2 linked regions of the Struthio camelus genome follow. The protein of the gene in region 2 purifies or fractionates together with the protein of the main gene of each other region. This does not show direct contact. Links are inferred from orthologs where the notes say so. Each region holds a gene or a part of one and is shown on either strand. Other genes may lie near its edges.

The links. Proteins that work in one complex are often made in the same cells at the same time.
Region 1: the proteins of SAP130 (region 2) and SUDS3 purify together in Homo sapiens (affinity purification with western blotting; 3 studies listed by BioGRID, with this or other methods). This does not show direct contact. The link is inferred for Struthio camelus from reciprocal best matches to the Homo sapiens genes SAP130 and SUDS3.

The regions. Positions count from the first base shown.
Region 1 is NC_090958.1:7,274,572-7,278,312, reverse strand, and holds the start of SUDS3 (sin3 histone deacetylase corepressor complex component SDS3), read right to left. Parts: upstream 2,615-3,741; 5' UTR 2,543-2,614; coding exon 2,377-2,542; intron 1,226-2,376; coding exon 1,156-1,225; intron 212-1,155; coding exon 156-211; intron 1-155.
Region 2 is NC_090950.1:6,535,643-6,539,383, forward strand, and holds the start of SAP130 (histone deacetylase complex subunit SAP130), read right to left. Parts: upstream 2,762-3,741; 5' UTR 2,451-2,761; intron 1,769-2,450; 5' UTR 1,569-1,768; coding exon 1,505-1,568; intron 1,047-1,504; exon of another isoform or gene 913-1,046; intron 405-912; coding exon 267-404; intron 1-266. UniProt on the Homo sapiens protein: Acts as a transcriptional repressor. May function in the assembly and/or enzymatic activity of the mSin3A corepressor complex or in mediating interactions between the complex and other regulatory complexes.

The DNA of each region.
Region 1 (3,741 bases), on a different chromosome or scaffold from region 2:
GAGCATGACCGAGATATGTGGTCAGTGAAGGGCCCTACTTACAGCTTTCAAAACCCTAATCCTTCTACGACCTCTGCAGCTGTTCCCAAATCAATCCTCAGCTTTGAAAAGTGCTGAAAATTCTTTAGAAAAAAGCTACCTCCTACAGAGCTTACCTTCCTGCAATTGCTGTAATTGCCTCTTAAGAGATGCCAGTTTGTCCTGATACATCCTGCAGGGAGAGCACACAAAATTACATAAAAATGAAAAACAAAACAAAGAGTCTATTTCACCATCTGTTTAGGTTATTGCATATATACTGAATTAAAAATTTTCCAGAACTCCAGAAAGCAAAAAACAATATATGAAAAAGTATCATTCAATTTAAAAATCCTACAGCCCCATTAACATTGCAGCACACCCAAATCAATTATTTTGAGAACAGTCATGGTAGAATTATCTTTTGTATGCAGAAATCTAACATGACACCACTTTGTCAGATCTTAATATTTGTGCGTTAGTTCCCTACTTATAACATAGGGGACATTTCCTCAGGTTACAGAGGACTTGAAGTTATAAGCAAGCCTCCCCCAGCACCCACATCAATAAAGCTAAAAGCAAGCCCAAAAGCACCAGGAATAGATTTTGTATTTCCCTTCTCACCTATCTGCAGTTTACCACAGGCTGCGTCTTCGTGACCTGTATACAACCATCTCTCTGCCAGTAAGCAAGACCACAAAGTGCTGCAAATAGACTTAAACTTCAAGAGAAGCTATTTCGAGTGCCCAAAACTCCCATCTTCCTGGACATTGCTGGCATTCTATTCTTAAGGGATTTTAACAGGTAACTTGCTTTTGACTTGGCTTGAATCAAGTAGGTCCATTGTTTTATTTAAAAGAATTTTCTGCCGAGGAATTAATTTGCAGCAAAATTGAGTTGCTCCCTCAACCTGCACCTATTTTGTTGTTCAGAACGGTAGCAGCACTTAGTGCCTTGAACACACATGGAACAGAGAGAGAGTAACTGAGGAAAGAAGAGATAGGTGTATATGGACTCATCAACTATTACACTGGGCAAAGAACTTACAAAAGTCCCTAACTTCAGCCTAAAACTTTGCAAAGTTTTATGCAAAGAAAACTAAGTATTGACTTACTTTTATTAGATTAGGTTACTTACTGTTCTTTCATTTCCACAAAGTCCTCTTCCTCATGTTTTGCCAGGTCAGTTTCACTAGCATCCTCAGTATCTAAAAAAGGTAAAGAATGAGTTGTTGAAACTAAAGTAATATTAAAAAGCAAAAAAAAGTCAAGTCATTTTAAAAAGAACAGGCAATTTAACTTCTCCATTTTACAATTCGACAGGCCTCTGGAAAGACTCATTCAGCAGTGAACTGAACCACCCCATCTGCTTCCTGCAACTGCAATTTGTCCCACATAGATTCACTCGTAGGCTTGCAATGAAGCTTACATCGAGTTTGAACGACTTCAGCTTAAGATACCCTGACAGCTTCTTCCCAATTTAAGACAACAGATTCTACATTAGTGCCCACAAATACAGAGGTGAGATGGTAACACGACCCAAAGACTCTGAAATGCATTTCACAAGAAAAACGCTACTACTAGATGCCATTACGGCTTACAAAGATAATACGTGAAGTTATTTGCTAAGATCTGAACTTGACATCTCTGCTACATATTTCACAGAAGTATTTCACCATTTACACATAGCAAAGACTATCACAATTACATAAACACAGCCCCAGTTTTGCCAACAGATAATTATAAGTAAAATAAACTAACAGGGCACTGTTAGCTTTCTGTTGTTGCCTTTTAAGGTTCCTATTTCTGAGACCAGGTAGCCAAAAATTAATTACCCTTCCTCTTCCAGGGAAAGCCAGTTTCTCCAAGGTAGAGTTGAGATTGACTTAAGGCTACAACTGTAAAGCCTAAACTACAGCTATATTCTCTATAAAGGGGGGAACGGAGGTAATCAGTCCTTTAAATCCAGCCTTTCTCAGATTTTTCTTAAACCATGAACAAATACCTTATGCTTATTTACGTTAAGGTAAAAAACAACACACCAAAGAGAAAGTAAAGTGTTTTAACTCCAAGAAGAACAGTTAAATAGCTAAGTTACCCTAAAGAAAGGGCTCCCATGTTTAATCCGGTCGCGCTGCGAGCAGCGCCCCTGAGCAGTGAGCCGTCACCTTTGTGAGGAGCTGCACGTCGCGCTGCGGCCCCGGTTCCTCCCCGGCAGCGGTGCGGCTGCCAGGGCGACGGGCCCCGCCGAAACCCACCCGCTCCGCGCTCCCCCCGCCCGGGGCTCTCCGCCGGCCCCGCTCTCCCGCCGCCTCCCCAGGCCAAGGGCCCGCAGCGCCCCCCCCCCCCCGCTACCGACCCTCGTCGGAGTCGCGGGCCCGGGCGCTCCGCTCGCCGTCCTCCTCCTCGGCGCTCTCCAGCTCCTCCTCCTCGTAGTACTCGGGGCCGGGGGGCATGGCGCCGGCGGGCGCCCCGGGCGGGGCAGGGGCCGGCGGCGTGGCAGACACCAGCCCGGCCGCGCTCATAGCGACGGGACGCAGCCGCCGCTGCCGCCGCCTCCGCCGGGCGCTCGGCAACGGCGCCAGGCCCCGCACTTCCGCTTCCGGGCTGTCCGCGCCGCTGCCCGAGCGCGGGCCGGCCGCCCGGCGGACGCCGCGGGCACCTAAGGGCGGGGTCCTCGCGGCGGGGCGGGGCGGGAGCGGTTCTCTCGAGGCCGCGGGTTCGAGCCGCGGGTTCGAGCCCCGGCCCCGCCGGGTCCGGGCGCGTCAGCGGGGCGGATCTCCAGCCGTCCTGCTAGCGCTGCCACCGCGGCGGGAGAGCAGCCGGCGCGCCCAGCTCTCTGGCCAGCTCCCGCCTATTGCGGACGTGAACGAGAGCCGGGCTCTTTCTCCAGGGCAGCCTTGCTTCGTGGCGGCCCAGAGCCGCGCAGCTCCAGCGGGCGTTACTGCCCAGCAGCGAGCTGCCCGCAGGCCCCTCAGCAGACACCTCTGCGCCCAGGGCTCTGGGAGCAAAATCTGCGTTTCCCTCTGCCAACGGGAACAGCTCCGCTCTGTGCTTGTGCTAAGGCATAAAAACACACCTTGCGCATACTTATGTGCTGCCTTTGCCAACCAGCAGCGCTTCCCCTTCAAGGGATTTATGGGGGAAAGGGGATTTTGGCAACCAGAGATCAATGTTCTCATTTTTGCCACAATGACCCCATCTATCCCAGTGAAATGCCTCCATCACAAGCCACAGGAGTTGCAATAATGCTTTTGCTCACCAGGTAATCTGGAGTAGGATGTTATAGCGATGGGAAAGGACTTCTGAAGACGCTTCTATACCCTTTCTACTTTTTTTTCCCCAATAAACGATTTCCTTGTTCCTCAACAAACTGCCACCACGGTGCTGTGATCTCACACGCACAAGGTAAAGCAGCTACTTCACATCAATAAATAGCAGCTTTCATAAAACAAAAGGGTCCAGAACCATTATGGACACTTCACAGCTGTCGGATATAGATTATTCTCCTGCCTGTGCACTGCTACAAAGTTAAGGACGAAGATACAGAGGCCACAGTGAGACACGTACGGGCACCATACTAAACACATGATCCCAGGCAGCATGAAAAAGTCTCAAATTGATATTCCCGGCTGTCTCATTTAGCCCTTTTCTGCAAGCGTAAGTCACCGGGGACGAACTGACCAATTAGCTTCACTGCCTCTAGCAGAGCTGTGCTAAATGC
Region 2 (3,741 bases):
AAGAGTTCCTAAATCACTAATCAGTTCCTCTGCTAAAAACATACTGAAAAATACCTCAAGGAAAGGCAGACAGTCAACCCCCCGCACCCCCCAAAAAAGGGAGAAAAGCAACAGTTCAGGGCTGAACGCTGCTTGTCAGGGCCGGCAACTACACCGACTGCCGCACCGCCCCCCCCCGGGACCAACGGCCTTCCGCGCGGCCCTTCCACCGCGGCGGGGGGCGCCACGCGCAGCCGCCTTCGCTTCCCGAGGCGCCGCCCACTTACCGGCGGCGGCGGCGGCAGCAGCAGCGGGGTTGATGAGGCCGGCGGCGGCGCTGGCGGGGAGGGGCGGCGGCGGCGGCGCTGCTCCCAGGCCGGCGGGCGGCGCGCCCGAGCGGGGGAACTGCTGCGAGCTCATGGCACCTGCGGGCATCGCCGACCGTTACATGGCGCTACCGGCGCGGCGCGGCCCCGCCCCGCCCCCCCGCGCCCGCCCCCGCCCCCCCGCATTGGGCGCCGCGCGAGCGGCCCCGCCAGCCCCGCGCCAATGCGGCGCGCCCCGGCCCCACCAGCCAATCGGGCGCGGGCCTGCGCCAGCGCTGGCGGCCAGTGAGGAGCCGTCCCGCTGATGACCTCACGCGGCGGCGAGCCAATGGCAGGGAGGGCGGCGCTGGCCCATCGGGGCGGGTCCTGGCCGCCCCGGGCCCGTCTCCGCCGTGCGGGGCGCGCAGGGCCCGGATGTTCCCCCCCCAGACGGCGCCGCGCCCGCGGGGCCGCCCGCGCCCCTGCCCGCGCCCGCGGCCCCTCCACAGCGAGAGGGAGAGCGAGCGCGGCCGCGGCGCCCCCCCTTCCTCCGCCGCTCGCCCCGCCGCCGCCCCCAGCCCCGCCCCGGAGCCCCCTCGCGCCCCGGCCGCCCCGCCGAAGGCGCTACCTGCCCCGCGGGCGGCGGCGGCGGCGGGACCCTCGGCGGCAGCCGTAGCTGCGTCTTCCCGTGACACCGACGCTGCAAGCTGAGCCGAGCTCCGCTTCCGCCGCTGCGCCTGCCCCCGCCCATTGGCTCCGGCCGGCCCCACCCCCCAGCGCTGCCCCCGCCCCATTGGCTGCGGCAGCCCGCGCCGCCCAGGGGCTCCTGGGAAACGTAGTGCGTGCGCCAGCAGGCCAGGCGGCGGCGGCCCCAGCCCCGGCCCCGGCCCCGGCCCCGGGCGGGCACACGGCGCCCCGGTTCCGCCGGTGCGGCCTGGCGACGGGGTTGGCTTCTCCCTTTTCCTTCCCGAACCCCAACGCGCACAGAAGCCTCTGGGCGCTCAGCCAGGGCGGCTTCGCTGCGCGCGCGGCCACACCGACCGCCCGGCGCTCTCCTGCCTCCAGGCTCAAAGATGCAGCCAGCCAATCAGCTGTAGTTTTCGGAGCTGTGTTCATGGTTTAAAATTAAACCAGAAAGAAAACGTTTTAAATACAGTATTACATTTGAGCAATCCCTAATTTTGCTTTGCAAGGCCTTTGTGCTTGCGTTGTGAACAAACCTGAAAAGGGGCGCTGAGAAAGCTGAGGGCGTGGACGGTGGTTAGGGTCAGCTTGGAAGGGCATCGCTGTGCAGGACCAACACGAGCCAGGACTACCGACTAGTCCTGCGGCTTTGACCTCGGTCTTGGGACGCTGCCCGCAGCCTTGTCAAAGTTAACTTGCCTGGCAGTTAATACAGCCCGGCCGGACTTTCAGCTTCGGAGATGTGCCGTTCTGCCCTCTCCCCACTCTGCTCCCTGGGGCTCAAAACGATCTTAGTAACGCTGTGAAAGGTTCAGAGAAAAGTGGCTAACACAACCCGCCATGGAGCGTGTGAGGAACACCCGAGCAGAGCCAGAACCCTCAGCCTGGAAAAGAGACTGTTAAAGGGCACTTCTGACAGTAAGATCACGAATGGCATAAAGAAGGTGATTAGGGAACAATTGTTTTGTGTCTGTCCCATGCTGCTTTAATTCCCCTCTCATACTTGCATTGCTAACAGTAAACAAACTAAAGAAGTGGTTCTCCACACAAAGCCCGAGTGAGCCATGGAAGTCCTTTCAACGGGGGAGACGGCTCACTCGACAAACTCATGAAAGACGCGACGCAGATGCCACCTCTGCCTCTGGAATTACCAACTCTGCAAACCCAGGCTGAGCAAGTACTCTGGAAAAGCGCTGCCGTGCGTTTGCCCTGCCTTTCACTCTTTCCTAGCCCTATGGCCCTTGGCTGCGTTAGGGACATGATCTCGGACTAAACGGGTCAGCGTAAGACGTGAGACCCCGCACGCGAACGGGATGCGCACAACAGCGCAGCAATATACACGGCGGCACGGGATAAAGGAGACTCGTGCCGGTCACAAGGCTGCTGAAGGCGCGAGGGATTTCGGAGCGGGGGGTGTGCACAGCCAGCTTGTCTCCCTCCCTCGCTCGCCACGCAGCGCTGCTCTCCCTGCGCCGCTCTTACTTGCTGCTCCGCAGGTCCCGCACGTTACATCCGGTGCGGGGGCTCTGGAGAGGGCCGAAAACAAGGCCGGCCTCGTCCCGCTGACCGGCCCGCTCGGCAGACGCTGGCCCTTGCTCCTCTAGGGCTCTGCCTGCCGGCGCCTCGGACTGACCGCTGCCTTCTCAGAGCCGCCCGCCGCGGCTGCTGCAGCTCTGTGCCGGGCCGCGGTCGGCGGTGCCAGGGAACTCGGGCTCCGCTGCCCCGCGGGGCTGGGCCGGGCGGGCAGGCCCCGGCAATGGCGGGCCGCGTCACGGAAAGGGGAAACCGCCCCGGGGGGGGGGCCTGGCCGCGGGGGCTCCGGCAGGCAAACGCCCTCGCGGCCGCGGCAGAGCCCCGCGGCAGGCAGGCCGGCGGCCGGCAGGCCGAGGAGCCGCGGGGGGCTCGCCGCCACCCCTCCCAACATGGCGCCAGGCGACAATCTGGCGCCGCTCCCGCTGTAACTCTATGGCCACGGGGAGGGCCGCCTCGCCCGGCAGCGGAAGCGCAGCGCCCGGAAGCCGGGGCAGCGGCGAGAGGCGGAAGGGAGCGTGGCGGCCGCTCGCAGGTGCGGTTACCACGGCGACCCGCGCCCGCCGGGCCGGTGATGTGGCGCGAGGAGGGGCCGGGAGCCGTTGGGCGCGCGGGGCGGGGGAGAGGGCAGGAGCCGCTGGGCGCGAGGCCGGGGCGGGAGCCGTTGAGCGCGCGGGGGGACGGGGCAAGAACCGTTGGGCGGGGGGGGGGGAGGAGGAGGCGGCAGGAACCGTTGGGCGCGCGGGAGGGGGGGAGGCGGCAGGAACCGTTGGGCGCGCGGGGGGGGGGGGAGGCGGCAGGAACCGTTGGGCGCGCGGGGGGGGGGGGAGGCGGCAGGAACCGTTGGGCGCGCGGGGGGGGGGGGAGGCGGCAGGAACCGTTGGGCGCGCGGGGGGGGGGGGGGAGGCGGCAGGAACCGTTGGGCGCGCGGGGGGGGGGGGAGGCGGCAGGAACCGTTGGGCGCGCGGGGGGGGGGGGGGGGAGGCGGCAGGAACCGTTGGGCGCGCGGGGGGGGGGGGGGGAGGCGGGGCGGGCGGAGCCGCGCAGCAGGTGCCGGGCGCCGGGACAGCCCTGCCCGGACGGCTGCGGCGTTCGTCGCCGGCGAAGGGGCGCAGCTCCCTGGGCCCGAGGGATGGTCTGTCAGTCAGTCGCCGTGTTGGCGGGGGCTGGAGGGAAACAGCTTTTTTTCCCTTTTCTTTTTTTCTTTCTTTTTTTTTTTTTGTGAATCACCTGTACCTTTGAG